Linked DNA regions of Ovis aries. The protein of the gene in region 1 binds, or shares a complex with, the protein of each later gene. Links are inferred from orthologs where the notes say so. Each region holds a gene or a part of one and is shown on either strand. Other genes may lie near its edges.

Evidence for each region.
Region 2: RBM10 (region 1) and MYSM1 share a complex: the UniProt entries of both Homo sapiens proteins name them as parts of the large chromatin remodeling complex. The link is inferred for Ovis aries from reciprocal best matches to the Homo sapiens genes RBM10 and MYSM1.

The regions. Positions count from the first base shown.
Region 1 is NC_056080.1:57,633,335-57,648,675, reverse strand, and holds the end of RBM10 (RNA-binding protein 10), read left to right. Parts: intron 1-1,421; coding exon 1,422-1,652; intron 1,653-3,446; coding exon 3,447-3,516; intron 3,517-5,324; coding exon 5,325-5,398; intron 5,399-6,763; coding exon 6,764-6,850; intron 6,851-8,923; coding exon 8,924-8,984; intron 8,985-9,123; coding exon 9,124-9,303; intron 9,304-9,665; coding exon 9,666-9,826; intron 9,827-9,990; coding exon 9,991-10,088; intron 10,089-10,174; coding exon 10,175-10,262; intron 10,263-10,870; coding exon 10,871-11,057; intron 11,058-11,157; coding exon 11,158-11,297; intron 11,298-11,399; coding exon 11,400-11,517; intron 11,518-11,610; coding exon 11,611-11,702; intron 11,703-11,789; coding exon 11,790-11,954; intron 11,955-12,867; coding exon 12,868-13,017; intron 13,018-13,326; coding exon 13,327-13,392; intron 13,393-13,469; coding exon 13,470-13,658; intron 13,659-13,737; coding exon 13,738-13,812; intron 13,813-14,120; coding exon 14,121-14,227; intron 14,228-14,302; coding exon 14,303-14,432; and 4 more. UniProt on the Homo sapiens protein: Binds to ssRNA containing the consensus sequence 5'-AGGUAA-3'. May be involved in post-transcriptional processing, most probably in mRNA splicing. Binds to RNA homopolymers, with a preference for poly(G) and poly(U) and little for poly(A).
Region 2 is NC_056054.1:33,406,930-33,422,730, forward strand, and holds the start of MYSM1 (deubiquitinase MYSM1), read right to left. Parts: upstream 7,325-15,801; 5' UTR 7,315-7,324; coding exon 7,250-7,314; intron 2,909-7,249; coding exon 2,833-2,908; intron 1,209-2,832; coding exon 1,138-1,208; intron 1-1,137. UniProt on the Homo sapiens protein: Metalloprotease with deubiquitinase activity that plays important regulator roles in hematopoietic stem cell function, blood cell production and immune response.

The DNA.
Region 1 (15,341 bases):
CAGTAGCTCTCCATTCCCATGCCTTCAGACTGTGCTCAAGGGCTTTGCCTCACCTGAAGGGTCTGTCCCCACTCCCCTCTCTGAGGGCTCCTCTCCCAGGTTGGGTCTCCCTGACCTCCACATGCTTGGCTCTGTACTTCTGAGGTCCCCTGGCCACCACCTCTCTCCCTTCTTCCCTGTTCTTCAGGGTTCACTGCAAGCCCTCTACTGCCTGCTCCCAGCCAGTTTGGGGACCCAGCATCTAGGGTCAGGAGGGTACCTGGATGTCACGTGGGTATCAACAAGCGGAGTGGCTCTGGGAGGCTAAGTGTGGGCATTCCCAGTGGTGGCAGAGCCCCTAGACAGAAAGGAAAGCCCCCTCAGGACTCTCCTCTGAGCTCCAGCTAGCCACTTCCATATTGGATAGTTAGCCCTGGCCTGAGGGGAAGGCATAATGCCCACCATCAGGGAGCCCCCATCTGAGATGAAGCAGCCTTGCCTTATGCGAACCCCAGGTTGAGGGGGTACTCAGGGCCCTGGTCCACACAGGTACAGAGGAGTGGGAAGGGTACCCTTGCAACCCCAGCCCTGGGAATTAGAATATGGGCAGCCAGCCACCCTCTGGGGGTCCAGCACAAAGACCCCTATGGTGGGCAGTCAGGCTTCCTTGGTGGCAACTGTGAGCTGTGCCTGGATGTGTCCAGAGCACCGGGTGGGCCCTGGGTGGACCAGCAAGAGTGGAGAGTTGAGTTTTCGGCCCCCGTGAGGGTAGGATGGGCATGGACCCAGGCCTGCCTTGCTTAGTGCTGAGCAAAGGGTTTGGGCAATGCCCAGGAATCCCATGACCACACCCTGTTAGGAAGGAGCATGGTGGTGACGGAGGACTGGCCAGGCAGTGGATCAGGGACCGAGGGGCAGTGCTGTAGTCCTCGCAATCTTTGCCAGCCCTTGCTGGCTGACTCTGGCCGAGGTCTTAAGCGATTCCTAAACCCACAACTTGGTGACAGGGCCCAGGCTGGGAGTCTTAAGTGACATGTGGCCTTCTGTGGCACAGGGAACAATTGTGCTTGTACTAGCTGAGCTGGCGAGGGGGGAGGGGGCAGAAAGAGTGTAGGGTTTAGTGTGCCAACCTCCAACAGTCTCGTCTCAGGGACGTCTGCTCACCTGTCTGTGGGAGTTCCTCCCCGACACCAACACTGCCCCCTGCTTCTCCCCAACTCCCCATCAAAGCAGCCCCCGCAAAGCATCTGAGGGAGAATTTCAGCTCCCAGGAGGATTGCAGTTTAGGGCCTGCCCACCTTGCCTGCCCCGAGCCTTTAGCCGGAGCCCGCCCACCCCTGGCTTTCAGAGCCTGCCTGCCTCGGAGAGCCAGCGGCCAGCCCCTAGGCCCACCCTCAGACTGACTGCCCGCCTGGTGTCTCTCGTCTCATTCTGTTGGCCAGGATTCCTACGAGGCCTCCCCGGGCTCCGAGACTCAGCGTAGGCGGCGGCGGCGGCACAGGCACAGCCCTACCGGCCCGCCAGGCTTCCCCCGAGACGGCGACTATCGGGACCAGGACTATCGGACCGAGCAAGGGGAGGAGGAGGAGGAGGAGGAGGAGGAGGAGGAGGAGGAGAAGGCCAGTAACATCGTCATGCTGAGGATGCTGCCACAGGCAGCCACTGAGGATGACGTACGTGCTCCCCATGTCCCCGGGCAGGCGGCAGAGCAGGAGGCCAGGCTGGGTCCCCTCCAGGGCCCTCAGCCCCTCCCTTACCCCCCACTTCCTCGGCACCTTTCAGCCCTTCTCCCCCCAGCCCTGTCCCCCAGCACTGCTCTGCCCCCGGGGCAGGCCCCGTCATCTCCTAGTCTGGAAGGGAGGAGTGTGGCACAGGCTGGTTTGGCCAGGGAGCTGCAGCGGTGGCTGTGGGAGGGAATAGAGCATTCCTTCCACGCATTCTGCTGGTGATCATCCCTTCTGCATATGCCGATCAAAGGCCAAATGCTCACCAGGCCCGCTGCCAGATATTGCTGTGATGTGGAGACCCTGCAGGCTGGGGAGGCTCTCCATGGGATTTTCTGAGGTTTTATTCTCATTCCCTACCACCTGCTCTCTTTTGCCAGCAGCCCCGGATCTCCTCACTGGCACAACCACAGAGCCTTGAGTCCTCCTTCCTTCACTGCTGTTGCAGCCCTCCCACCCCGTCTGCCTGTGTGACATTCCCTCCCTGTCCGTACCAACTTCCCTTCATGAGCAGGAAAACCCCATGTGGGCCACTAGAATAGCCTCCTCACTACCCTACCCAGTTCTCCTCCTCCTCCTCACGGCCTGTGAAGGCTCCACTCAGCTCTCCCCTGAAACCTGCTGGCTGCCTGTGCTGTCGCAGAGAAAACCCCACCTGTGTGTCTGAGAGCTCTCAGGTCTGGCCCACCTGCCCTGTTCAGGGTCAGGCAGTAGCTGCATGTTTCCATTTGTGGAGGATCTGTCACATGGTGGGCCACATGCACAGCCGCCTTACAGGGAAGGTCCTCTGTGTTTTTCATCCTACGGATGAGGAGGCCAGGCCCCTGGCAGCTGGCCCCAGTTCCCATAGCCAGCAAGTGACAGAGCAGAGTTGGGGTCTGAACCTGGGCAGCTGAGCCCCAGAGCCCATGTTCCAGCCGTTTCCTGAGCCCTCCCTGAGTATTGTGATCCTGATCTCCTGTGTCTCTCTCTTCTCCATTCTCATGTGTGCCTGTTGAACCTCCAATCTGTTGCTGACCCTGGTGAGGGCACTGAGGCCCAGAGGCATTATAGCCACTGGTCCAGAGTGCCCAGCACAGGCATCCAGTTGTTGGCGAGAGGTGCCACTGGCCTCAGGACCCTGCCTCACCTGATCCAAATCCCAAGTTGCATCTGCAACTTCGCCTGGCGTAGGTCATCCAGGAAGCTTTCCATACCCCACAGCTGTGCCTTTTGGTCTCAACCTCAAGTTCCCACTCTGTTCGTGATCTAGTGCCCATGGCTGGGCTTTGCTCAGACCCCAGTCCTTCCCAGTTTGGGGCTTGTGTCATGGGTCTCTCTCGATGCAAGCTGGAGGGCAGTCCATTCATGAAGGGCCAGGTTTGCGCCCCAGCTTTCCTTGCTTTGTGGCTGCAACAAGCCCGTTGTCAGACCACCCATGCCCACCATTCTTGAGCTGCTGGCTCACTTGCTCTTGACATTCTCTGCCTCTGAAGGTCCTTACACTGCCATGCTTCACCTTGCAGCCCACCCCTTCCTTCCTTTGGTTCCCTCTGCAAATCTGGGGCTGAAAGCTGAGACTGGGTACTGGTAGGGGGCCGGAGCTGTGATCACTGGGGGAGAATCCCTGAGAGAGGGAGTGGATACAGTGTGTGCACAACCCCTGTGACCCCCTTGGGGTCCCAGAGACCTCCATCCAGCCCCTGGTACCCACAGACAGACCCCTTGTGCTGAGCCTGCCTCAATCCATATCACCCCATACAGATCCGTGGCCAGCTGCAATCCCATGGCATCCAAGCGCGGGAGGTCCGGCTGATGCGGAACAAATCCTCAGGTGAGCTTTCGTTCCAGTACCCTCCCCTTCTGCTGGCCAGCCTCAGCCTCCGAGTCTCCCTCCTGCCTCTGCCTTCTCCCCCACCCTCCCCACCCTGCCTTCCTGCCACAGCTGGGAATGGGCCACTTGGGGGTATCCTCTCTTCTCTCACCCCTCCTCCCACCCTCCTCACAGCTCTGGCCAGGAGCCTCTGATGCGGGCCTGTCGGGGAGGGGGTGCAGCTGTGAGCTGCGCTGAGTGCTCCCCGGGGGCAGGGCCAGGGCCAGGCTCCAGGATTGTCCTCTGTGGGACTCTGAGAATCTGAGACGGTACCCCGTCCCCCTCGTAGACTCCCTTCCTTCCCTCTTCTTCTCCTTTCCCTGCTCCTTGCTCTCCCTGACACTGTTCTGGTAACAGCCTCTGACCAGAAAGTAGGTCCCACCCATGTGTCCCAGGAGGGGAGGCAGGGGATGGCTCTTGTCCAAGAGTGCATCCCAAGGAACAGCCCAGGTCGCTGGCCTCGCTCGTTCCCTCCCTCCCTCTTGCAGGCTGCTTGGAGCTGGCCTGAGGTTAGTGGGCGGGGTGGGGTGTCTCTGCAGGATCTCCGGCCCAGGCTACCCAAGTCAGGCCCAGTGAGGCCTCGCTCTGCCTGGGCTTCTCTCTCCATCTTCAGTCTCCTCCCCACTCCTCCATCTGTGTGTGTGTGTGTGTGTATATGTGTGTGTGTGTGTGTGTGTGTGTGTGTGTGTATCTCTCTGTCCCTACCTCTCACTCTCTCTGTAATTATACCATTTCATCCTCCTGTGCATCCTAACAGTTATTCTTTTGGAGATCAAGCATGCCCCGCCGTGTCTAAGCTCTCCCAGTGTGTGCACCTCCAAAGGAGGAGCTGCTTTCTGGCGGCCTCAAGCCCTGGATCCTTCTCCCAGCCAGGCCTGGAGTCTCTCTTGGTAGCATGTTGGTCTTGCTCTGCTGCACCCTAGCCAGGCTGGCAGGATTCTGGTCTCCCCGGGGTGGTGTCCCAGGCCCCCTCTGTGGCCCCGGGTGCTCCTACCACGGCCCTACAGATTCTTGAAGGTCTCCTTGGACTACCTGGCCCCCATTCTCCTGCCATCTTGGAGGACCTGGACTGGGGTGGCTATAGTCTTCCCAGCTTGGCCCTGAGGTGGCTCCCTGGGGAGTCCCACCTTCCCTGCATGGTGGTGAGGCTGAGGGGAACATTGTGTCCCTGACTTCCCCTGGTTCCTGATGGTCCTGGAGCCTCTCCAGCCTCACCAAGCAGCCTAGCCCCGCTTCTCTTTTGCTCCTTCCATTACACACCTGTTGTGGGACCCCCTCCTGGACTACCCTGGCCTCGTGCTGGGCATCACCATTCCAGTTGGTGATTCTGGCCCAGGTGAAACCATCAGCCTGCCCCTCTGCCCTCCTTCCTTTTCTGGAGACAGACCTCTCCTTGTACTTTTTCCCTCCCAGCTCCTTCTCTCCGTCTCTGTCTCCCCAGGCTGTCTGGGCAGGTGTGCCTGAGCCCCCATCTCTGTCTTTCTTCCCAGCTACCGTGTGTGTATCCCCCGCCCCCAACTCCTCTCCGGCTGTGTTTTCCTGCCTCCCTTCTTCCCTCCTTCCTGCCCCTACCGACCATCTCCCTGGCCTCCCACATCCTGGTCTTTCTCTCTTTGCTTTTCTCTCTCCCTTTCTTCCTTTTTCCTCTCTCCACTTCCCTCTCTGCCCCCCACCCCCAGTCCTCTCCCCTCGGGTCCCGCCCCCGGGAACGCCGTGTGTCCAAAGCTGTTGACTAACCCACTGCGTCTGTATCTGAATGCTGTCTCCAGGTCAGAGCCGGGGCTTCGCCTTCGTCGAGTTTAGTCACTTGCAGGACGCTACACGATGGATGGAAGCCAATCAGGTTGCTTTGCCGCACTTGAACCCCCCCCCAAACAAATACTACTTTGTAATCGAGCGCTCCCCATCGCCTGATTCTTACGGACACAGTTCCCTGCCCTGTGGTCCTGTGTCTCATCCCCCCCAACCCCTCTCTCTACCCCTTCCTGACCCTCACTATCTCCTCTTCCTGTCTCTCGCTACCCACTGGGCTTCCCATTAAGAGCCCACACTTGCCACTGGCCCTTCCCTCTGGTCAGGCGCTAGCTCTGCCTCTCCTCCTCTCCCAGCTGAGTTTTAAGAGGAAGGGCTGCCTTGGGGGTGGTAGGGGGGTTCTTCCACCCAGGTGCCCACTCCCCGGGGGACCACCCTGCCCTGGGGTGAGGCAGAGCCAGGACTTTGTTTCACTCAGGCACCACTGCAAGTCCAGCCGCTGGGGAAACTTAGTTGTTGGCATTACTAATTAGCAAGTCCTGTTTTGCCAGCTCTCTCCCTGTGAGCTTGGCCCTGTGATTTCCATAGGACAGGCCAGCAGGATTCTATTGACCTAAAGTACCAGTCAGGGGTCATAGTTTCATTCACCAGGACTCACTTTGGTGCCCCACCCCTCCCACTGCACCTGGCCTGCCCAGGAGTCTCCACTGGGGACAGGCCTGCCCTCCCAGCAAGGAGTCTTGCTGTCCGGAAGGGAGGGGAGCTCACTCCCCCAGCCTGGCATGGGCTCCTAACCCAACAGCTTTGGGACCTTCAGAGACCCAAAGCTTCTGCTCACCCACCCAGAGCCCAGCTGACTGCTATGGGGCACTGTGCCTCGGGCCGGGGGAAGGGGAATGGGGCAATATGGCGGCCCTGGGGCCATCTCTGCTGGTCCACAGGCTAGTGGGCCCAAGGACCCAGCTGGCCACGGGAAGACAGCTTCACTGCAGGACCGTCCATCTTTTAAATATGGCTCTTTCTTTCTCCCCTTCTCCAGCACTAGCGCGCGTGCGCTCTCTCTCTCTTTCTCTCCCCTCCTCTCCCTCCCCTCCCTGTCCCCTTCATCCCAAGTGTAGCCTGTGTAGTGCTGGCCCTGGGTGTGGCCTGGCAGTGTTAGGGCTGAGTGGGGGTTTGCCGCACTGTCCGGCAAGCTTCGGGCAGCCGAGCACTGTATGCCTGGTGGAGTGTGTTCACGTGTGCGTGCCCGGAAAGGCAGCAAACAGCTGCGCCCGAGGGCTGTGGCTCTTTCCCTCCCTCCTTCCCTTCCTTCTTCCCTTGTCAGTTCTCCGACCTCCCTCCGTTCCCTGTCCCTCATCCATCCAGCTGAAGGGCTCGCTCACTCTCTTCTCCTGTGCTGAAACGGTGCGTGGGGCACTGCTGCCCAGGCCTCACTGTGCTCTGCTTTTCCCCGCAGCACTCCCTCAACATCCTGGGCCAGAAGGTATCCATGCACTACAGCGACCCCAAGCCCAAGATCAATGAGGACTGGCTGTGTAATAAGGTACAGGGGCAGTGGGCAGCAAGTGCCATGGATTGAGACAGCCGCGGCAGGGGTGGCAACATGTCTGTCTCCCTGGGGCCTCTGAGTGGTGCGGGCATGGAGGAACTGGCCCAGCTCCGGCAGCACCGCTCATTGCCTCCCCCACGACTCCCCTCCTCGTCCACCCAGCCAGCTGCCAATTCATACTGAGCTTTCACTCAGTGCCAGGCTCTGCCCTCATGCAGCACGATATTGCCTGAGGCCCCAATAGATGTCACATAGACGTTTATGTGAGTGACTAGTGACGGTGAAGCATAACATGGTGTATGAAAAGTGGGCATCAGGGCCAGACTGGCTGAAATTAGACTCCCTCAAAATCCCCCTTGAGGTCAGAGTATTAACCTCTCTTTGCCTCACTCTCCCCATCTCGAAAACACAAATACTAAATACCCAGAGGTGGTCAGAAGGATTGAAATGCAGTGATGAGAGGGTAGCACTTGGAACAGCACCTGTCAGCTGCTGTCCTAAATAATGTGTAGGGTGTTCTGAGAGCTTGTGTCAGATGACCCAACCCCTGACAGAGCCAGGTCCACAGAGACTGACTGTACAAGCTGTAGGTCTTTGCGCTCATGTTCCCTGGGAGGAGGCTGAGGCTCAGAGAGATGGAACCTCGAGCTGCGTCTTATTCCTAATCATAGGCTATGGGTGCCACCGTGGGTTCGGGTCCCCCCTTAGGCCAACCTCACCTTCTGCAGCCGGCTGACAGCCCTGAGACCTAAGTCCTGAGAGCTTGCAGGGGCCCCCAAGCCTCTCCCCAAGAAGAACTCTGCCCAGTAAAGTGGGGGAGGGGGGCCTCTTTGTTTGAAAATGAAAAGAGTAATACCAGAAGGCAGATGTCCAGCCTCTCTGGAGAGAGTGACAGGAGGACTCACTCCATCTCTCCTGTATTTTCAGATGCTCCTTAAAACTAGGGCAGTCTGTTCTTTCCTCTCCTTTATCTACCACATCCTATTGCTCTCTGGTCTTGTCACGTCCATCACACAAACACCTTCCATTGCCATTCTCACTGTGCAGGCTGGTCCTCACCCCTCCTCCAGACAGTCACCATGGGCCCCTCTCTGGTTTTCTGGCCTCTTGCCTGTCTCCCACTCCCTCACCTTTGGCATTCCTCACACCCACTTCTGACCATGTCCCTCCAACTCTGCCAAAAACCTGCACATATCTGAACGTGAGTGTGACGCTCCTCTGGGATTTAATGTCACCTTCTCTAGCCTTGGCTTTTGCCTTTCTCTCCACCCTCCTACACCAGCTACACAAAATGTCTTGTGTCCTCTGCTAGCAAGTGCTTCCCAGCAAAACCAAACCTCTGGGCCTCCCAGGTGAAACAGCCATGCGGACTATACCCAGCTGAGTAAGCTGGGCCTCAAGGCCCACTCCTCTCCTGGAGTCCCTGGTGGTGACCATTTCCAGACTGACCTGCTGCACCTCTGTGCTACATCCGCTCCCTACTGTTAGGCCGCATGCTGCGGAGAGCCTGGCATGGGAACAGTGCTCAGGACTTGACCGCGGATCAGAGACCGAAATGTGGTGAAAACTGGGGGTCTCCAGAGGCTGCAATGCCCAAGGCAGATTTATTTCTCAAGAGTGGCAAGATCCAACCTCGAGATGAAGGGGTGAGGCCTGGCAGGAGAGGGGCTACTGACTTTTTAAGGATAGAAAAGTGATGAAGGTTTCTGAGAAGGAAAGTACGTTCTGGGAAGAGGAACCTACTAAAAGGACTTTGGAGGCGGAAACGTCTCTGAGCTGGTCCCTTGGAGGAGACAGCAGTTGGTAACAGAGGTAGGGGGTGGGTTACGGACTCCTGAGTTGAGGGGTGGGCGCTGAGGAGAAATTTGAAACCATGTAAAGAGTCGTGTGTCTGAGAATGACAGCCATTCCCCAAAGCCCTTTGCTCCCCCCTCCCCTGACCCTGGGACCTTCCTGGGGCATGGTGGGATCCCTGGAAGATTTCTGGATCCACATTTGGAGGGTGCAATGGAAAGCCCCCACCCCCCACCCCCTGCTGCCTCTGACAGCCTGGCCTGTGCCTCACAGTGTGGCGTCCAGAACTTCAAACGCCGTGAGAAGTGCTTCAAATGTGGGGTGCCCAAGTCAGGTACGGCCTTCCTACCTCCCTCTTCCTTGGGACATTGTGGGGAGAGGGGCGAAGGGTGAAGGTCACAGCTCTGGAAGGAGGGTGACCTGCCTGGGAGCGCCTTCCAGTTTGTCACCAGTCTCTCTCCTGATGCCCCTAGCAGAGGCGGAGCAGAAGCTGCCCCTGGGCGCGAGGTTGGATCAGCAGACGCTGCCGCTGGGGGGTCGGGAGCTAAGCCAGGGCCTGCTGCCCCTGCCACAGCCCTACCAGGCCCAGGGAGTGCTGGCCTCCCAGGCCCTGTCACAGGGCTCGGAGCCAAGCTCGGAGAATGCCAATGACAGTGAGTCCATTGCTCCTTCCTCTCTGCCTTAGGGTGTCTAGGCTGGGTTCCCTGAGGCCAGAGAGACGGTGGTGACCAGGACTTAGTCTTCCCAGGGGTCCACCGGGTTTGGAGTCAGACACATAATGTAGGGAGAGCAGAAGAAGAGCATTACCAAACTCTACTTGAAGGGTGTGTTGAGACGATTCTCTCCAGGCAAGTGGCTGAGCTGGGACTTGGGCCGACAAGCAGAGAGGAAGAGGTGGGAGGAAGCAACAGGTACAAAAACATGGAGGCCAGGGAGAGGAAGCAGTGGGGAGCCAGCAGAGGGCAGGGCTGGAGGGGGTTATTGGTGCTCCCTAATGTTGAGTCCCTTCCCACAGCCATCATTTTGCGCAACCTGAACCCGCATAGCACCATGGACTCCATCCTGGGGGCCCTGGCACCCTACGCAGTGCTGTCCTCCTCCAATGTACGCGTCATCAAGGACAAGCAGACCCAACTGAACCGTGGCTTCGCCTTTATCCAGCTCTCCACCATCGTGGTGAGGGCGGCACAGGGGGGGGCCGGGCAGCCAGAGTCCCGGCCCCCAGGGCAGGGAGGAGGGACACTGACCCTAGCTCCCCAACCGCGGCCCCAAACCTGGAAATGGGGCAATGGAGCCGGGGGCCTCCCCGGGCCTGACCCTTCTGCCCTGCCCACCCCCAGGAGGCAGCCCAGCTGCTACAGATCCTGCAGGCCTTACACCCACCACTTACCATCGACGGCAAGACCATCAACGTCGAGTTTGCCAAGGGTTCTAAGAGGTCAGGGCCCCACCTGTGTCCCTTCTCAGCCTGCCCCCCAGCCTGGGGCCTCCTGTCTCACTTCCAGTCTCTGACATCCTCCCCAGGGATATGGCCTCCAACGAAGGCAGTCGCATCAATGCTGCCTCTGTGGCCAGCACTGCCATTGCCGCGGCCCAGTGGGCCATCTCACAGGTACTCAGAGACTCCCCTCCACCCCAGCTCCCCCATACCTGGGCCACCTCCACCCTCCCGCTCCCTCTCTGCAAACAGGAGGGCTGCCTTGCTGTAGCGGCTTCCCGTGGACCAGAAACCCTCTCCCGATGGTTGCCGGTGTGGGCTGCAGGGGCCTCATGGCAGCTCCATTCCCCAGCCCCTCCTCCCAGGCTTCCCTTTCCAGGGCCACGCAGCCGCTTTTCTCTTCTGTTTGGTGCTCATGTGTCATTGTGAATTGTTTCAACTTTTTTTGATAAAAGGGAACTTAGAAGTGGCTGTAAGAAAATTGGGAGAGGAAAATATAGGCGGGGAGGATGGCATCTTCCCTGGTCTGACCCCCCAACCCATATAACACACAGCGCATCTAGCAATGTCAGCTCTGGGAGTGTTTTGGCACGTGTCTTTGTTCCAGTCTTGTTTTTGTCACCACCCCGCTCCGCTGTGGCCCGGTGTTCTTGTCTGAAGGCTGCATGGTTTCTGTCAGCAGACAGACACTAGCTTCCCTTGTGGGCACATGCCTCTTAGCCGGTTCCCCTCCCCTCTACCCCACCTCCTCTGCTAATGAGCCCCTCCCACCTGCCCCTCAGGCCTCCCAGGGTGGGGAGGGTGCCTGGGCCACCCCCGAGGAGCCAACGGTCGACTACAGCTACTACCAACAGGATGAGGGCTATGGCGGCAGCCAGGGCACAGAGTCCTCTCTCTATGCCCATGGCTACCTCAAGGGCGCAAAGGGCCCTGGCATCACCGGAACCAAAGGGGACCCGGCTGGAGCAGGTAAGCCTCAGCGTCTCCCCCAAACCCACGGTGGGGACTGGCAGGCCTAGGGTCCTGGGTCCTGCCATTCACATTTTCTCTTCTCTGTTGCCCTTCCCAGGTCCCGAGACCTCCCTGGAGCCTGGGGTGGACTCTGTGTCCCTACAGGCTTTCTCCCGTGCCCAGCCTGGTGCCACTCCTGGTGTCTACCAGCAGTCAGCAGCTGAAGCAAGCGGGAGCCAGGGCGCTGCCAACAGCCAGGTGAGGGAAATCAAGGGGGAAGGGTCCTTGGGGGGCTCCTGGGTGACATGGGGTCACTGGCAGACACTGAGCCTTGTTCCCTGTTCTTGCCCCCATGACCAGTCATACACCATCATATCACCTGCTGTGCTCAAGTCAGAGCTCCAGAGTCCCACCCATCCCAGCTCTACCCTGCCACCAGCCACGAGTCCCTCTGCCCAGGAGTCCTACAGCCAGTACCGTGAGTAGCCACAGCCTGCACCGAGGGGCAGGGGGCTCCTTCACAAAGCAGTGAGGTGTGTGACATCCCTCCCACACACTTGTCACTCCCCAGCTGTTCCTGACGTCTCCACCTACCAGTACGATGAGACATCTGGTTACTACTACGACCCCCAGACGGGCCTCTACTATGATCCCAACTCTCAGGTGATGGGGCGGCCTGGGAGGGGAGGGGGTGGCGTCTGCTCCACGGCATCTCAGTCCTCCCTCACGTCCCTTCTCCCATCACCCCAGTACTACTACAATGCCCAGAGCCAGCAGTACCTGTACTGGGATGGGGAGAGGCGGACCTACGTCCCTGCCCTGGAGCAGTCAGCTGACGGGCATAAGGAGACAGGAGCGCCCTCCAAGGAGGGCAAAGAGAAGAAGGAAAAGCACAAGACTAAGACGGCCCAACAGGTGAACACTGGGAGCCCAGCAGTCACTGTCCATTAGGTGTCTTCTGGGTAGTATCTGTGCTTGAGAGAGACCCGGCTCCTGGTCCGGCTCTGCTCTGCGCTGTGTGATCTTGAGCCAGGGCCATCTCCTCGGTACCCAGTCAGGCTGCCCACCTTCCTGAGGTGGCCACTGCCATCCAAGTGCAGCCTATCAACTATCCTGTCCCCTGGTGGGAACCTTTGTGCTGTTGGTGACAGTGTGGGCTGGTCTGGGCACACCTGTAGCCAGGCTAACCCTGCCTAGGGAAACAGATGCACAAGTCTGCTCCTGTGGGCCCAGAACCCCACCTGATGGTGTGTATTCATCTGTCTGTGTATACACATGCCAGAGAACTTCTTCCAGGCCCATCAGGGGGTGGGCAGGAAAACAGCCATTGCAGTGTTCTGTGGTAGTGGGCAGTTGGAGGGAACCTCCATGTCTTCTCTGAGGAGGAAGAGTGTGACAGTCTGGGTGCAACACTTAGAAGCAAGAACTTCGTGTTCCCTTGATAGCCTGGTAAATTCTAAAACTGATGGTGTGCCTGGGTAGGGATTGGGCATCAATACAAAATGTGGCATAGAATCACACCTGTTAATTAAAATTGTATGCCGAGCAAGCCATTCTGTGCATTTCAGAATGATGAAAACTCACAGCGACCCTAATAGCATGGACACCTGTGAGGAGAATAGGGACACAGCAAGGGAGGGGCTTGCTGAGGAGCACTAATGACAGGATGACAGAGAAATGGGGACTTTAACCTCTGCCTCTCTGTCCTTCCACTTGAGGCTGCAGGGCAGGAAGGGGTGGGCTGCTACAAGGGCAGTGGTTGGAGTTGGTGACCCCAGCAGTTGGTAGATTCCTAGGAGCCTCACCCCACCACCACCCTCATCCCTAGATTGCAAAGGACATGGAACGCTGGGCCCGCAGCCTCAACAAACAAAAAGAAAACTTCAAAAACAGCTTCCAGCCCATCAGCAACTTGCGAGATGATGAAAGGCGAGAGTCAGCCACCGCCGATGCAGGCTACGCCATCCTCGAGAAGAAGGTGTGTTGTGGCCATCCATTTGTGCTCTGTCCCCAGGCTTGTCATCCCTTTGGTCCTTCTGTGGAGTCCCTGAATTTCCCTGTCCCTCCACCCCTGGTGCTTCAGATGGTAAAGAATCTGCCTCCAATGCAGGAGACATGGGTTCCATCGCTGAGTCGGGAAGATCTCCTAAAGGAGGGCATGGCAATCCACTCCAGTATTCTTCCCTGGAGAATCCCATGGACAGAGGAGCCTGGCGGGCTATAGTCCATGGCGTTGCAAAGAATCGGACATGACAGAGCAACTAACACTTCCATTTTTCCACCCCAGGGAGCACTAGCTGAGAGACAGCACACCAGCATGGACCTCCCCAAACTGGCCAGCGATGACCGCCCAGTGAGTGCCTGGGGCAGAAAGAAGGGTGGGGGGCTGTGAACTAGCCAAGCCTGACCTCTTGCCTTCCCCTTTTCCAGAGCCCACCTAGGGGGCTGGTGGCAGCCTACAGTGGGGAGAGTGACAGTGAGGAGGAGCAGGAACGCGGGGGCCCAGAGCGGGAGGAGAAGCTCACCGACTGGCAGAAGCTGGCCTGTCTGCTTTGCCGGCGCCAGTTCCCCAGCAAGGAGGCGCTCATCCGGCACCAGCAGCTCTCCGGGCTCCACAAGGTGACTGAGGGAGGCCTGGCAGGGAACCCCAGCCTGGCCTGGCCCAACCGCTTCACTCTCCTCCTGTCCTCCTTTACAGCAAAACCTTGAGATTCACCGGCGAGCCCACCTGTCAGAAAACGAGCTGGAGGCACTTGAGAAGAATGACATGGAGGTGAGGTGTGACCCACTCCCCGGCTCCATCCGTCGGTCCCTTGCCAAGCACCCCATCTGTCATGCAGGCAACTGGTGCGGGCAAGTTCCTCAGCTAGACACAGCCTGGCTGCCATCAGCCACCTCACATCTGTCGCCATGCACGAGCTTCTTCCCAACTACCCCGTGTTGGCGGGCGGCTGGTAGCTGCAGGACCTCAGACCTGTTGGCCAGATCTGATTCCCTGTGGGCCCCCTGACCCCAGCTGTGCCCATGTTTCCTGCAAAGAGCTGTCAGCCCCTTCATTCTCACACATATACACTGTTTCAGCAAATGAAGTACCGGGACCGCGCAGCTGAACGCAGAGAGAAGTACGGCATCCCTGAGCCACCGGAGCCCAAGAGGAGAAAGTACAGCAGCATGTCTGCGGCCTCCGTGTGAGTGTCCAGGGCCAGGTGGGGGGCGTGGGGCCAGCAGGTCTGCCACTCACACTGTGCCCCTGTCCCCTGCAGGGACTTTGAGCAGCCCACGCGGGATGGGCTGGGCAGTGACAATATTGGCAGTCGCATGCTCCAAGCCATGGGCTGGAAAGAGGGCAGTGGCCTGGGCCGCAAGAAGCAGGGCATTGTGACTCCCATTGAGGTGAGCCTGCTGGGATCCCTTGCCCATCCTCCAGTGCTCTCCACTGTAGCCTTGACTGACTAACAGAGTCTGCCTCCTTCACACAGGCCCAGACACGGGTGCGGGGCTCTGGCTTGGGTGCCCGAGGCAGCTCCTATGGGGTCACGTCAACTGAGTCCTACAAGGAGACGCTGCACAAGACAATGGTGACCCGCTTCAACGAGGCCCAGTGAACAGCTGCAAGACCTACTTATACTTGCATCAGGTGTCCAGCGTGGGGCGGGGGAAAATGAAATATTGGGTGGTTAAAGCGAAGCCTTGCACCTGTCTACCAGCCCTACTCCCCAGCCAGAGAAGCTGTGACCAAGTCAAACTTTGAGTTGCAGACTTTTATTGGAAAACTGGGCTGGAATCACCCTTGTTTTTGTAATAAAAGCTGAAAAGTCCGCAGCTTGTGTCTCTTTCTCATGTCCCAGAGTGCTCTGTGGCCCATGCAGACATGGGGACATAAACACAGATAGACAAGGCTTTGTCAGGCTGAGGTGGTTGGCAGTGGTGGCATTCACAGTGATTTTCATGGTGGCTCCCAGCTTGGTGAGGGTTGGTAGCAAGACATGGTGTTCTGGCTTGTGCCCCAACATGCAAGATCCTGGTCACAGCGCCTCACCATTTCGGGTCCAGCAGGTTAGACTGTACCAGGAAGTCAAGCACCACCAGGGTACTGTTGGGCTTGTCCCTCCAGATCAGAAATAGGACGAGGAACCCCCACCCCCTGGCCTCGCCACCCCACAGCTACACTTGCTGTACAGTCACGAGGCTAAACTGTACTTGGCCCTCCCTAGGTCTGGGGACCGTGCTTGAGGGCATTTCTAAGTGAATGATGATGGGCACTCTGGCCCCAGTGGGCCCGGTGCTCTCAACGAGCTGATG
Region 2 (15,801 bases), on another chromosome or scaffold:
AAACATTTCAATGTTTACATATTAAATGTTGAAATATATTTTAAATATACTGGGTCAAATAAAATGTTATTATAATTGATTTCCCCTGTTTTAAACATGGCTACTAGAAAACTATAAAGGACATATGTGACTTGCACTATTTTTCTACTGAAAAGCGATGATCCAGGCTATAGCTGTAATGTTTGGGGAGGGCTGGAGAGTAAGAAAGCCTAAAAGGGGGTTACCCATGAGAATTAAAGGTACACAGACACCCTGAAAACAACACAGCAATAACTGGGAGTAAAAGGAACAGAAATTCTGGCTTAAAAAGGAGATAAAAATCCATGAAACACAGAAGAGTTGAAAACAAACCACTCACTACTTTAATTAGAGTTATATTAACAATCTTTATAAATCAGAAAATCAGAAAACTTTTTATTCAATCCTTTTATTTTACATGTAAAAAAATATATGAGTTCCCCAAAATTTAAGTTGCAAATATCACAAACAGATGAAAGAAACAGGGCAAGAAGCCAGTGGCTGAACTGTGAATAAGGACCTACAACTTCTGGGAGAAAAAAATCTTCATTCTATAGTTTTGTCTTTTTTACTTAGATTGCCCCCAGTAACACCTATAAATTAGTAGAATAAGAAGTGAGAACTTTTACATATTCTCATTCTGTGTCTTTGGACGAATTAATATCTCATACAACTGAAAATGGGAGGTCTGGACTAGAAAATCTGGACTTAAACTAAGGATTCTAGCTGATTTAAAACACTCTATAGGAAATTCCCTGCTGGTCCACGGTTAGGACTTCACACTTTCCCTAAAGAGGGAATGGGTTCAATCCCTGGCCTGGGAACTAAGATCCCACATGCCATGTGGCATGGCAAAGATAAAAAATAAAAACAAAACAACAACAACCAAAAAATCTCTATAATTTCTGTCCAATATTAAGGTAACTGAAAGAGTTGGTTGACAACAGAAACTCAAAAGTATTGGGTCAGATCTCAGACTTAGTGGTAAAACAGAATAGGTAGGTAACATTATACCCTAGCATTACATCTAGCAACTAACAGTGGTCTCTTTTGTAAGTTTTGCATTAATGAATTTTTAACCCTGAAATCTTTACTTTCCTCATAGTGAATAAAGGATACTCTTCTTCCAACAACATTTTCTCAATGACAGCTCTGTTCTCTTCACTGATGGTGCTATCCAGAGTCCAAGGCTATTAAAAAAAAGGAAGAATAATTTTTTTTATTTACTGCTTTTTGAAACCAATTACTATTTTGTTAAATGAAAATACACAATAATATGATTACAAATAATAAAGCTACCATTTACCGAGAACACAGACATATCTTTGGACTCCTACGATAATGCTGAGACAGGCATCACTACTTCAGATGCATTCATAGAAGCAGTAACTAACGTTTTAAGTGGGAAAGAAGAGACTTGAGCCTTAGATTCCTAGGCTCTGGCTCCTACTCATGATAAAGTAATAATGGTTATCCTGCATGAGGAACAATTAAGATACTACTAAGCTTTTGCTAGATACCTCACCTATTAATATTTCCAAAACTCACCACAATTCCTTTCTTCCCCTTAAGCCACAATCTCTCCATACTTCTTTTTAACTCTCAAAACGTAAACATTTTCAGCCAAGTCTCTTTTCCAAGCTCTATTTAGACGGTTATAACTAACTACCCACTCAAAATTTCCACTTGGATACCTAACAGGCTTCTTAAAACTTCACATGTTCAAAACAAAATTTACCAAAGCATAACCTTCACCAGCTTTTCTCCTGCCTTCCCAATTTTGTAAGCAGCATTACTAGTCACCAAGCTATTCCAGCCTGAAACCCAGAAATCATTCTGGATTCTTTCCTTTTCCTTCAATCCCCAAACCCAATATAACAAGCATTTCTACCACGCAAACATAATTCAAATCTGTCAACTTCTGCCACAAGCTGAGGCCAAGCCATCACCGAATCTTGCTTAGGTCCCTAGAAATGTTTCCTAACTAGTCTTTTTCATTTTCTTCCTGCCTCCTGCTAGTGTGACAGGGCCATCATTTGCCTCCCCAACCTGTCACCTCTCCCCCTTTCCTACTATATTCTAGATACTGGATTTCAACAACAGCCTTTGTGCTGCTGTTCTTTCTGCATATAGTTTTCCTCTACTCTTCACATCCCTACTTCTACTTTCAACTTAAATGTCACCTTCTCAGTTTCCCTCACCATGTCCGTCTTGATTATGGTTGTAATCCCCCAAACCTGGCCTGGTGTCTGGCACATAGTAAGTATTCAATAGTTGTTGTTCAGTTGCTAAGTTGTGTGTGACTCTTTTGTGAACCCATGGACTGTAGCCCGCCGGGCTCCTCTGTCCATGGGCTTCCCCAAGCAAGAATACTGGAGTGGGTCACCATTTCCTCCTCCAGGGGATCTTCCTGCCCAGGGATCAAACCCGCATCTCCCACAATGGCAGGGGGTCCTTTACTGAGTCACCAGGGAAGCCCAAGGACTCGATAAATAACTGTTAAATGAAGAAATGAATCATGCAACAATCCCCATATTTTAGATGAAAAAACTGTGGTTCATAAATCTGATAAGTGGTAGAGCACCAATTTGTGCCTAAATCTAGCTGGCTCCAAAGTTGTTTCCCAGAAGGCCATTTTTTCAAAGGAAAAAAGAATAAATTCCTTCTATTTTTAATTTAAGAAAAAGGTTTCACTGTCTTACCTCTGTGACCACTGAGAACTAGCACCAAGTTAAAAAAAGAGAGAGAGAGAGAGAGATACTCTGCGCACTGAGTAATAGCTTAATATACCTGATATTTCCACAAAATACTTACAATAAGACCATTCTCAGTTCTCCATGATGAATCAAGATAATGATCTTGTAAAACTGATGCTGTATTTTCATCACTTCTGCAATAATTGAGAAAATAGGTATAAAAGTGAAATTATACCAATTAATGAATATAATTTACACAGCACAGTGACTGACAGGTTTCGTACGTAAACAAATATTTAGTTCCTTTCTCCATCCTATTTCAACTGCCAAATATCAAGTTTGTTTACTTCTCTGTCTCCCAAGAATAAACAACTCCATGAGGAAAAAACTATGTCCAAACAGCAACCACACACAACATATTCTGTGGCTATGAACCAACATTTCAGATTTCTTTTGATGAATATGCACATCTATACAGGAATTCAACTTTATGACTCTCCTGGTTATATCTAAAGCATAAAAGCCACCCATTAACAGTACCACTCTCAAAATGGAAGAAAAAGCAAGACGAAATAGAAGAAACAAAAGAAAATACTTGAAGGAGGACAGTACAGTGAAGAGATCTAACAAATCTGTTGTTTTAACTCACATAACAAAAATTAACTTGAGTTATCTGGGGGCTTTTCTATGTCTATGAGGGATTCAACTTTGTTAATTCTCAGCCTTTTAACTAATTAGAACTCTCTAAAGTCACACTTAAGAGAGTCATAGTTACTTCCACCATTTAAATGGGGAAACAATGGAAACAGTTAGAGACTTAATTTCGGGGGGCTCCAAAATCACTGCAGATTGTGACTGCACCCATGAAATTAAAAGATCTTGCTCCTTGGAAGAAAAGCTATGACCAACTCAGACAGCATATTAAAACACAGAGACATTACTTTGCCAACAAAGGTTTGTCTAGTCAAAGCTATGGTTTTTCCAGTAGTCATGTATGGATGTGAGATTGGACTATAGAGAAAGCAGAGCGCCAAAGAATTGATGCTTTTGAACTGCAGTACTGGAAAAAACTCTTCAGAGTCCCTTGGACTGCAAGGAGATCCAACCAGTCCATCCTAAAGAAATCAGTCCTGAATATTCATTGGAAGGACAGATGCTGAAGCTGAAGCTCAAGCTCCAATACCTTGGCCACCTGATGCAAAGAGCTGACTTATTGGAAAAGACCCTGATGCTGGGAAAGACTGAAGTCGGGAGAAGGGGATGACAGAGGATGAGATGGTTGGATGGCATCACTGACTCGATGGACATGAGTTTGAGTAAGCTCTGGGAGTTGGTGACAGGGAATCCTGGCATGCTACAGTCCATGGGGTCACAAAGAGTCAGACTCGACTGAGCGACTGAACTGAACTGAAAGTCACATTGTTCACTTCATATGAATAGTTAAGTTTGAGGAGGCCCAATCTGTGATATAATTAAATTTAAAATTTGCTTCTATATGTTTTGAAGTTATAAAAGTTTCCTAGTTAGTGACTTTTCCCAGTCTATACTTAGAAACTGCTATACCTCTTAGAAACTGCTATAATATAAAGTTTATTCTCTGTCTCATCCAATAAGAATGTGAGTTCCATAAAAGCAAGGACTTAGTTTGGATGAGTACTATAAACCCAGAGCTAGGCATATAAATGCTAATCAATATTTGTTGAATGACTGAATGAACAGGTAGGTGGGGTATGGATCACACAGGTCTCTAGGGAGTTGGGAGTACCATCATCAGATCTGGATGTAAGAAAAGACTACTCTAACTTCAGAAAAGACTAGAAGAGGGTCAAAGAGACAAGAAGCAGTTAAGAGGGAGTGATTACATAGATACTAGAGAGAAGTGACAGTAACTTAGACCTAAAGCACAAGCAATGTGAACAGGAAGAAGTGAACACATCTGAGAGGATACTCAGAATCTACAGACTCTCTAATAGGAGAGAGGTAAGGAAGAAGGTTAAAATCTAGGTCTCTTCCCTGCATGAGTGGGTGGATGGTGCCATTTATTGAACTAGGGAACTTGAAGAGGCAGGTTGGGTAAGGAAAGTTTCTATAAAGTGAGATTGAGGAGCTTGTGGCTCACCCAAGGGCAAATAGATTCAGGAAAATGGATAAATGGATCTGAAGATCATGAGAGAGATTTGAGTTGGTGACAGATTTGGGCAATATCAGCCTGTTATTAGATGGAATTTAAGATTAAATGTCATTTGTGTGGGTCAAAATTGGTAGAACATTGGGAAAATTTCATATGGTCCAACTTAAACAGAAATTTAAGCCTTGAGAGATGGACTGTATGGTTAATAAGAAGTCTTATGACAAAAATTCCTTGGAAATACTATGATTTAAAGAACAAGTAGAAGAAACAGAGGATAAGAAAGAATGGTAGAAGGGAAACAAAACACTTCAATGCATCTTCTAACCTTGGTAACCAGCACTTAGCAAGGACTTAAAAGTGTGTTTTCAATTAACCCTCAAGATGTCATGATCAGCTATAACTGAAAAATTCAGAGGGGCATCTAAGTGTTTACTCACACCAAATTCCACATGATTAGAGTACCAACACTAGGGAACAACTGTCACTAGACTGTAATGTTCATGATGCTCTACAGAATTGTGTGAGACAATGACGATGACCATCAGGAACCAACAACCAGTTACTGGTTTCATGAGACTAATGTGACTGTAAGTGCCATCAGCAGACTTTGGGCTCAAACAGAACAATAAGAAAAGGAAAGAAAAAAGAAAAAGAGAAATAAAACACGATCATAAAAATAAAGAAAAACCCATGGAAAAAGGGGAAGAGTCAGTGCTCTCAGATAATCTTTAGTGTTTCCAAGGGCAGCTCATCTGCCTTGAACTTCAGATAAGAATCCCTCACACCTATTTCATACACTTATTGTGGAAAGTAAATCAAACCACGCATGCAAAAGCACTCGGTCAAGATTAACTTGATCTACACAAATGTGAAAGACTGTTATCAAAGGCTTTCTGTTCATTTGTAGAGACTTGTACTGTTTTGTCTAAACAGCTGAAGGAGACTTAGTTACTTCTCATTTTTATAGTGTTTTAAGTTCAGGAAAACTTTAAACGGCTCTGTTTCAGTCCCTCATGGACAGGGGTTGGTACTCTTCTTCACAATTTACAAAGGTGCTATTATTAGGCTGGATCATGTGAAATTGCTATTCTATAGGTCAAAAATGGTCTAAGCCTCACAATTTTACCTGGCTTAATGTAGAGACTTCTAATGAACTTGTTCATAGTTATAAGCAACACAGCTGGCTGAGTTGAGAACTGAGGTCTTCTGATCCTGACCAGTCTAAGCCTCTTCTATTACTAAAAGAGAATTCTGAAAGCACATCTTTAAAACCGCATGTATCAATTTCTTTCTCTGCAAGCAAGGAGTCAAACAGCTAGATATCTCAAGCTGGAGGCTGCTTTTTAAAAGTCACACTGGCCTGCTCTGCAGGAACTGGTACTAAATGGTGACCTCTCACTGGGTCCTCAAAATACTATCCGTGGTGGGAAGGTAAAGAACACAACACTTACAGAGCACCTCTCTTATACTAGAGCACATCCCCAAATCATTTCATTTGATCTTCACAGTAACCGTACGAAGCACATAACATGACAGTCAGCTTACACACGAGTTGTCTGAGGCCCAAAGTCACACTGCTAGTAACTGCTGCTGCTGCTAAGTCACTTCAGTCGTGTCCGACTCTGTGTGACCCCACAGACGGCAGTCCACCAGGCTCCCCCGTCCCTGGGATTCTCCAGGCAAGAACACTGGAGTGGGTTGCCATTTCCTTCTCCAGTGTATGAACGTGAAAAGTGAAAGGGAAGTCGCTCAGTCGTGTCCGACTCTTCGCGACCCCATGGGCTGCAGCCTACCAGGCTCCTCCGTCCCTGGGATTTTCCAGGCAAGAGTACCGGAGTGGGGTGCCATCTAGCTGGGTCAATACACAGCTGTCAAACTCTTAAGTCCCACCCCTTTCTTTTAGATCACGCTGCATGTCGGGAAGTTTTTCATAACTACCCCTACGTGGAAGAGGAAACCAGAGGCTAGTAGGGATAAAACGACACGCCCAAGGTCACACGGCCTGCAAGCGAGGGAACAAGAATTCCTAAGTTGGGTTCTGTCCAGGGACCGCCCCTGTTCTAATTATTTTTTGGGCGGTGGCAAGGAGGCGGGTTCTGGAGTGGCAGTAAGGGAAGAAGCAATCTAATTGCTTAAGAGTATGCAATGTGCTAGGCGCGGTCAGCGCCCTCACAGGATCCCGGTAAATGGGCTGTCCCACGCTAGTCTACGGTACCCGCCCTCTGAGCTCAGGAGGAGCCCACAGACGGGATGGGCGAGGCGCGCCTCTCAGGCCGGCAGGAGACCCTGGCCCAGGGGATAGTTTTCCACTCCCCCGGCCCTTGCCGGAACCGCGGCCTTTAGAGGGTACCTCCTCACTGCCGTGCCCCTCCTCGTCTCTGCAAGCCCAGTCTCAACTGCTCACCCAGACTGTGCCGCCGCTGGCACTAGGTCCCCTTCGATATCCACATCTGCCTCTTCAGCCGCCATGATGGGACCTGACCCCAGCCGTCCTCCCGAGAGATCCCGCGAGAAGTGGAGGGCCTGAAGGCGGGGCCATGTACGTCATGGGGCGGAGTCGACGGCTCTGCCAGTTCTTTCCAGGCTGGGGAAGCGGGGTTTCGGAGAAAAGATGCTAAGGAGTTCTGGGGTTCTGGGGTTTTGTTGAGGAGCAGCTCAGTGCTAAAGAATCCGGTTGCGATAGGCCAGTTCGATCCCTACATTGGATCCTCTGGAGTAGGAACTGGCAACCCACTTCGGTATTCTTGCTGAGAAATCCCGAAATAGTCATGCACATCTTAAAGACTAAGCTTCAACAAAAGCCTTGGCAAGCAGCGCAGGCTTGGGTTTTGAAGAGACTGTGCTCTTGCATAAATTCTTTGGCGCCTCACTCCTCTGATTTGTAAAATGGGGATAATAATAATAATCTGCTGCTGCTTAGTCCCTCAGTTATGTCCCACTCTTTGCGACCCCATGGACACAGCCTGGTGGGCTACAGTCCATGAGAATTCTCCAGGCAAGAATACTGGAGTGGGTTGCCCTGTCCTCCTCCAGGGGATCTTTACCGTCTGAGCCACCAGGGAAGAGCTAATATTTTTATCTAGAGTGCTGAAAATATCAGATTAGACCTGCTTTGAACTGTGAAGGTGGCAACAGTGATCCTTACCTGCTGGTTTTCTTTCGTTTCCTTTTTTTCTTTTTTAAGGAATTATTCAGTACTTATTGAAGTGCTGAACATCTGTTTTATCAAAAAAATTAAGGGTATAACTTATGATTACATATTTTACTTTGTAGAGATCTTTACAATTAATTAAAATATCATTCTCATGACCACTAATTTTCACAATTGCACAGTGAATTAATCCGGACTGATATTATCTACAGATGAGTTCTACAGATGAGGAAACAGGCTCTGAAAACTGAAATAACTAATGGAAAGGAAAGATAGCTGGTCAAAGACAGCTGGGACCAGAATCTAGGCCTCTTGACTCTTTACTGAGTGCTTACCCTCTACACATCATGTAGTTGGGAACTGTGAAAGACAAATGCCATTTCTCTCAAATAATTTATGGTTTCTCAAGAAATTAGATGTTGGCCTTATGGATTATTCTCCCTTGGATCACTGCCGTTATTGTAGCTGTTCATTCACTTGTCTGCCTCCACTGTTGGTTGATGAATTCACTAAGAATAAGCACTGTATCTGCTAGTCTTTTCACTAGTCCTTATACTATCATCATTCAGCAAAGTGTCTGACACACAGTAGGTGCTTGGTAAATATACTGATGAATGAGTCAATCGATTCATGGAATGAGTCCTCTTCCGACACTGTTGTGAGTTTTTTCCATCTCATTTTTGTTTATGCTCAAGCCATAGATGAGCTGTATTATGAATGTGATGGCAGAAGATGGAGGCAAAGTTTATCACAGAGGAAGATCCGGTGTCCAGTGCTCAGAAACTGTATAGTGCCCCATCCTTAGGTCAACCTGCAGATGCTTTGTTGTTGTTGTTGTTGTTGTTGTTCAGTCGCTCAGACATGTCCAACTCTTTGTGACCTCATGGAATTTTGCATGCCAGGCTTCCCTGTCCTTCACCACATCCTGGAGCTTGCGTGAACTCATGTCCATTGAGTTAGTGATGCCATCCAACCATCTTGTCCTCTGTTGTCCCCTTCTCCTCCTGCTTTCAATCTTTCCCGTCATCAGGGTCTTTTCTAGTGAGTTGACTCTTCACTTCAGGTGGCCAAAGTATTGGAGCTTCAGCTTCAGCATCAGTCCTTCCTATGAATATTCAGGGTTGATTTCCTTTAGAATTGACTGGTTTGATCTCCTTGCAGTCCAAGGGACTCTCAAGAGTCTTCTCCAACACCACAGTTCAAAAGCATCAATTTTTTGGCGCTCAGCCTTCTATGTTCAACTTTCACATCCATACATGACTACTGGAAAAACCACAGCTTTGACTAGATGGACCTTTGTCAGCAAAATAATGTCTCTGCTTTTTAATATGCTGTCTAGATTTGTCATGGCTTTTCTTCCAAAGAGCAAGCGTCTTTTAATTTCATGGCTGCTGTCACCATCTCCAGTGACTTTGGAGCCCAAGAAAATAAACTCTCTCACTGTTTCCATTATTTCCCCATCTATTTGCTATGAAGTGATGGAACCAGATGCCATGATCATCGTTTTTTGAATGTTGAGTTTTAGGCCAACTTTTTCCACTCTCCTCTTTCACCTTCATCAAGAGGTTCTTTAGTTCCTCTTTGCTTTCTGCCATAAGGGTGGTGTCACGTGCATGTGAGGATGCTTTACCTGTTGCCAAAGGACTTATCCAATGACCAGTTCTAGTGGTAGCTGGCTTGCTTGTAACAGAGTAGGCATTCTGAGGTATTTGTTGGATGTGATTTACAGTAAGATAGAAAGATGGGCATACCCAGATAATCAAAAGAATATAGATGCCTTTTATTGACCTTTACATAGCAGGCCAGATGGGAACCTTGGACACCCGTGATATCAAATGACACTAGACCATGACAGAGAACACCATGAGAACAGCATCTCTTGCACCAAGGAACTGAAGGCTTTCCGGCCCAGTGCCACCATCATTAGGCATTAAAATATATGTGGAAAGAAGGAAAGGAAGTCCTGCACAGAACTCAAGTATGCCCGCAAGGCCTCTAAATGTAAAGGCCTCTTAAATAGGGGGACTAGCCTGAAGCCTCCCCACACATAACCCACACTATGCTCCTGCTTTGCTGACTTATGTGAAACAGGCTCTGTGAAGTTTTAGCCCAACCCCTAAGAATCCACCTGCAATTCAGGAGCTGCAGGAGACACGAGTTTGGTCCATGTGTCCAGAAGATCCCCTGGAGAAGGGCATGGCAACCCACTCCAGTATTCTTGCCTGGAGAATCCCACTGAAAGAGGAGCCTGGTGGGCTACAGTCCATAGTGTCACAAAAAGTCAGACACAACTAAAGCAACTTAGCACTCATGCATGCACCTACAGAGATACAGCTATAACCCCATATATAACCTGAGTGGATTCCTGAAGCCCAGTCTATTATTTAAAATTCTTTGTTCTAGAGTTCTGCAAAAAAAAAAAAAAAACACTCTGCAATTTGTTTAAAGACTCATTTTCTCACCCATTTGAATCTAGAATAAAAAATTCAGAGTTCATAAATACTTATATTCCTACTGTACTCAGAGAAATGGCATTGAAAAAGATGGACTCGTTCGTTGCTCTCATAAAATCTATCAAACATGCAATTTCAAGATGATATAATAAGTTCTATTAATACATTCCCCATCCTTCTAGGATCACAGGGGGAGGCACTTATCCCAGAATGAATACTCTCTTATACCACATTTTTGAAGATATTGATTAGTTAAAATTTGAAAGTAGTGTTCTAGATTCTAGGGACTACAAAATAGAAGGCCCTGTGCTAATATGGAGAAAAAAAATGGGAAAAATTAGAAGAAATTGATATTCACACAGAGCATAAAGATAGGATCTGAAAGGATGAAACTGCTTCTGGTAAATTTAACTATACCTTCCTTCCCCCTGACAAAAAAAGCTCAAGAGTACTTATAAGAATACAAAAATAAGTAAGACAGACAAAGACAAATATCATATGATATCGCTTATACGTGGAATTTAAAAAAAGATATAAATGAACCTATTTAAAAAATAGAAAAAGACACACACAGAAAACAAACTATGGTTACCAATCAGAATGGTGGGGGAGGGATAAATTAGGAGGTTGGCATATACACACTCAGTTTAGTTCAGTTCAGTCACTCAGTCGTGTCCGACTCTTTGTGACCCCATGAATCGCAGCACGCCAGTCCTCGCTGTCCATCACCAACTCCCAGAGTTCACCCAAACCCATGTCCATCAAGTCGGTGATGCCATCCAACCATCTTATCCTCTGTTGTCCCCTTCTCCTCCTGCCCTCAATCTTTCCCAGCATCAGGGTCTTTTCAAACGAGTCAGTTCTTTGCATCAGGTGGCCAAAGTATTGGAGTTTTAGCTTCAACATCAGCCCTTCCAATGAATATTCTGGGTTGATATCCTTTAGCATGGACTGGTTGAATCTCCTTGCAGTCCAAGGGACTCTCAAGAGTCTTCTCCAACACCACAGTTCAAACGCATCAATTCGACGCTAAGCTTTCTTTATAGTCCAACTCTGACCTCCATACATGACCACTGAAAAAACCATAGCCTTGACTAGATGGACCTTTGTTGGCAAAGTAATGTCTCTGCTTTTTAATATGCTATCTAGGTTGGTCATAACTTTTCTTCCAAGGAGTAAGCGTCTTTTAATTTCATGGCTGCAATCACCATCTGCAGTGATTTTGGAGCCCAGAAAAATAAAGTCTGACACTGTTTCCACTTGACATACTCCTTTTCCTATTTGAAACCAGTCTGTTGTTCCATGTCCAGTTCTAACTGTTGCTTCCTGACCTGCATACAGGTTTCTGAAGAGGCAGGCCAAGTGGTCTGGTATTCCCATCTTTTTCAGAACTTCCCACAGTTGATTGTGATCCACACAGTCAAAGGCTTTGGCATAGTCAATAAAGCAGAAATAGATATTTTTCTGGAACTCTCTTGCTTTTTCGATGATCCAGCAGATGTTGGCAATTTGATCTCTGGGTCCTCTGCCTTTTCTCAAACCAGCTTGAACATCTGGAATTTCACAGTTCATGTATTGCTGAAGCCTGGCTTGGAGAATTTTGAGCGTTACTTTACTAGCGTGTGAGATGAGTGCAATTGTGCCGTGGTTTGTGCATTCTTTGACATTGCCTTTCTTTGGGATTGGGATGAAACTGACCTTTTCCAGTCTTCTGGCCACTGCTGAGTTTTTCAAATTTGCTGGCATAATGAGTGCAACACTTTCACAGTGTCATCTTTCAAGATTTGAAATAGCTTAACTGGTATTCTATTACCTCCACTAGCTTTGTTCATAGTGATGCTTCCTAAGGCCCACTTGACTTCACATTCCAGGATGTCTGGCTCTAGATGAGTGATCACACCACCGTGATTATCTGGGTCGTGAAGAAATTTTTTGTACAGTTCTTCTGTGTATTCTTGCCACCTCTTCTTAATATCTTCTGCTTCTGTTAGGTCCATACCATTTCTGTCCTTTATTGAGCCCATCTTTGCATGAAATGTTCCCTTGGTATCTCTAATTTTCTTGAAGAGATCTCTAGTCTTTCCCATTCTGTTATTTTCCTCTATATCTTTGCATTGATTGCTGATTTCTTTGCATTATCTCTCCTTGCTATTCTTTGGAACTCTGCATTCAGATGCTTATATCTTTCCTTTTCTCCTTTGCTTTTCGCTTCTCTTCTTTCTACAGCTATTTGTAAGGCCTCCTCAAACAGCCACTTTGCTTTTTTGCATTTCTTTTTCTTGGGGATGGTCTTGATTCCTGTCTCCTGTACAATGTCACAAACCTCTATCCGTAGTTCATCAGGCACTCTGTCTATCAGATCTAGTACCTTAAATCTATTTCTCACTTCCACTGTATAGTCATAAGGGATTTGATTTAGGTCATACCTGAATGGTCTAGTTGTTTTCTCCACTTTCTTCAACTTCAGTCTACTAGATATCAAACAGGTAACAATTAAACATTACAAAATAAAAGATTAGTGAACTTGAGCATATAATCAAAGAACTATCCAAAATGAAACATACAGAGAAATGAAAACACTTTTAAATAAGCAGAAAAGTCAATGAGCTGTAGGATAACGTCACGCTCAGTTGGGGGCTCTGAAAAATGGATGGTAGGGATCAGGAAAAGTATTTGAAGGAGAAAAGGAAAATTTTTCCAAATTTCAGGAAAACTATAAACTCACATATCCAAGAAAATCAAAGAATTCTAGGCGTTAGAAAACATAAAGAAACTATACTAAGGCCCATTGTAATCAAATTTCTCAAAACTAGTGATAGAAAAGCAAGCTTTTCAGACAATAAAGGCACATTCCCTACAAAGGAAAAAACATAAGAATGACAATAAATTTCTTGTCAGAAACAATGGAAGCAGGAAGACAGTAAGCCAACATTTTAAAATTACTGAAAGGAAAAAGGCAGCTTAGAGAACTGTATATCTAGTATAAATATCTTTCGAAAATGAAGGCAATGTTAAGCCTTTTCGAGATACAAAATCTGAAAGAACACATCATCAACCTATCTACTACAAAAAATGTTAAAGAAAGAAATTATAGAAAGAAATGAAATGATATGGCAGAAAGAAATGATAGATGTAAATCTGAATCCCTGTAAAAGAAGGCAGAGTACAGGGATGGTAATGACATGGTAAATGTAAAAGATTTGTTTTCTTAGTATCGAAACCATTAAGTGTCATTTCAGGGGTCTCTGAAGAACTCTGATACTATAGTCTTTATATCTCAGCACAGAGAAGAATTCAGTGAGAGCAAAGTGGTAGATAAAAAGTGATTTACTAGAACAGGAGGCTTGTGAGGCTTACACATGGGTGGCTAGAAATGCCACACCCTGAGAACTTACTGGGCAATAGTTTTACAATCAAAGAAAAAGTAAAGAGAGGCAGAGGACCTTCTTTGTCTTTCTTTGCTTTTTTATCTTTCTTGGGGGGGCTCCAAAATCATTGCAGATGGTGACTGTAGCCATGAAATTAAAAGACGCTTACTCCTTGGAAGAAAAGTTATGACCAACTTAGACAGCATATTAAAAAGCAGAGACATTACTTTGCCAAGAGAGGTCCATCTAGTCAAGGCTATGGTTTTTCCAGTGGTCATGTATGGAGGTGAGAGCTGGACTATAAAGAAAGCTGAGCGTCGAATTGATGCTTTTGAACTGTGGTATCGGAGAAGACTCTTGAGAGTCCCTTGGACTGCAAGGAGATTCAACCAGTCCATGCTAAAGGATATCAACCCAGAATATTCATTGGAAGGGCTGATGTTGAAGCTGAAACTCCAATACTTTGGCCACTTGATGCAAAGAACTGACTCGTTTGAAAAGACCCTGATGCAGGAAAGATTGAAGGTTGGAGGAGAAGGGGACAACAGAGGATGAGATGGTTGGATGGCATCACCAACTCAATGGACATGAGTTTGAGTAAACTTCAGGAGTTGGTAATAAACAGGGAGGCCTGGCATGCTGCAGTCCATGGGGTCGCAAAGAGTTGGACATGACTGAGCGACTGAACTGAACTGAATGTTTTCATCATCAGCTCCTCTTCCAGGTTGAAAAAGGAAGTTTTCTTGTCCCTTTGTGGTCAAGCTAGGTCCAAAAATTACTGTTTTTTAGGTGTGTGGAGAGCATGTTCTAGAAATCATTAATGTACTGAGCTCACTGGACAGTATGGGGGTCTCATGCATCCATTGTTTTATTGTTTGGGGGCATGTCCTGTGCTTCTGTTGCAAGGTTTTGTTGCTACGCAAGCCTGCTTGCTTTTGTGGTTAAGCAAATCTGCTTTCTTGAGTAATTATTAACTTACAGAGATCTCCTGTATTTTCCTACTTATAATCCCCTAGTGGGATTAACTATTTAATTGTCTCTTTTGTCCCTTCAATCTGTTCCTATCAGTATTTAAATCTCTTTAAATGAGAATTGACTGTTTAAACAAAAGTAATTACAATGTAATGTGAGATTAACAGCATATATATGAGTGAAATATATGAGAACAATAATACAAAGTCTCGAAAGGGAGGGATACAAGTGCAGGCATACCTCAAAGATACTGCATGTTCTGTACCAGACCACCACAATAAAGAGAATATTACATGAAGCAAGTACAAAAATTTTTTGGTTTTCCAGTGCACAAAAGTTATGTTTATACCATATGGTAGCCTATTAAGTGTGCAATAGCTTTATGTCTAAAAATACATCATTTAAAAAATACCAAAAAAGAACCTATTACAATAGTAACATCAAAAATCACTGATCACAGATCACCATAATAAATATATAGTACTTGAAAGTTTGAAATATTGTGAGAATTATGAAAATGTGACAGAGAGAAATGAAGTGAGCAAATGTTATTGGAAAAATGGTACAGATAGATTTGCTTGACACAGCCTTGACCCAAACCCTCAATTTGCAAAAAACACAGTGCCTGCGAAGTACAATAGAATGAAGTCTGTCTGTATATTTTTGTGAAGTTATTATATAAAGTGATATAATACCACTTGACTATTTCATCATTGTTACATATTAAGGTTGTATAGCATAAACCCTAAAATAATCACTACAATAAGAAAACAAAGTTTGAACCTTAACAATGAGAATTTATTTGTTATTTGTCTCATTTTTTTAAGCAATAAAAGGCAAAGGTGTACAGGCATTTGTTTTCTGTTGAGTAAATGGTCACACAAGGCCATGACTAATAGTACAGAACCATTACATTGAAAACATATTTAACTCTCCTCTCAGATAGCAACCTTCAGATTTTGTGAATGATCTTCGCATAGAAACAAGAGATTGGATTGATTATGCTGATGTG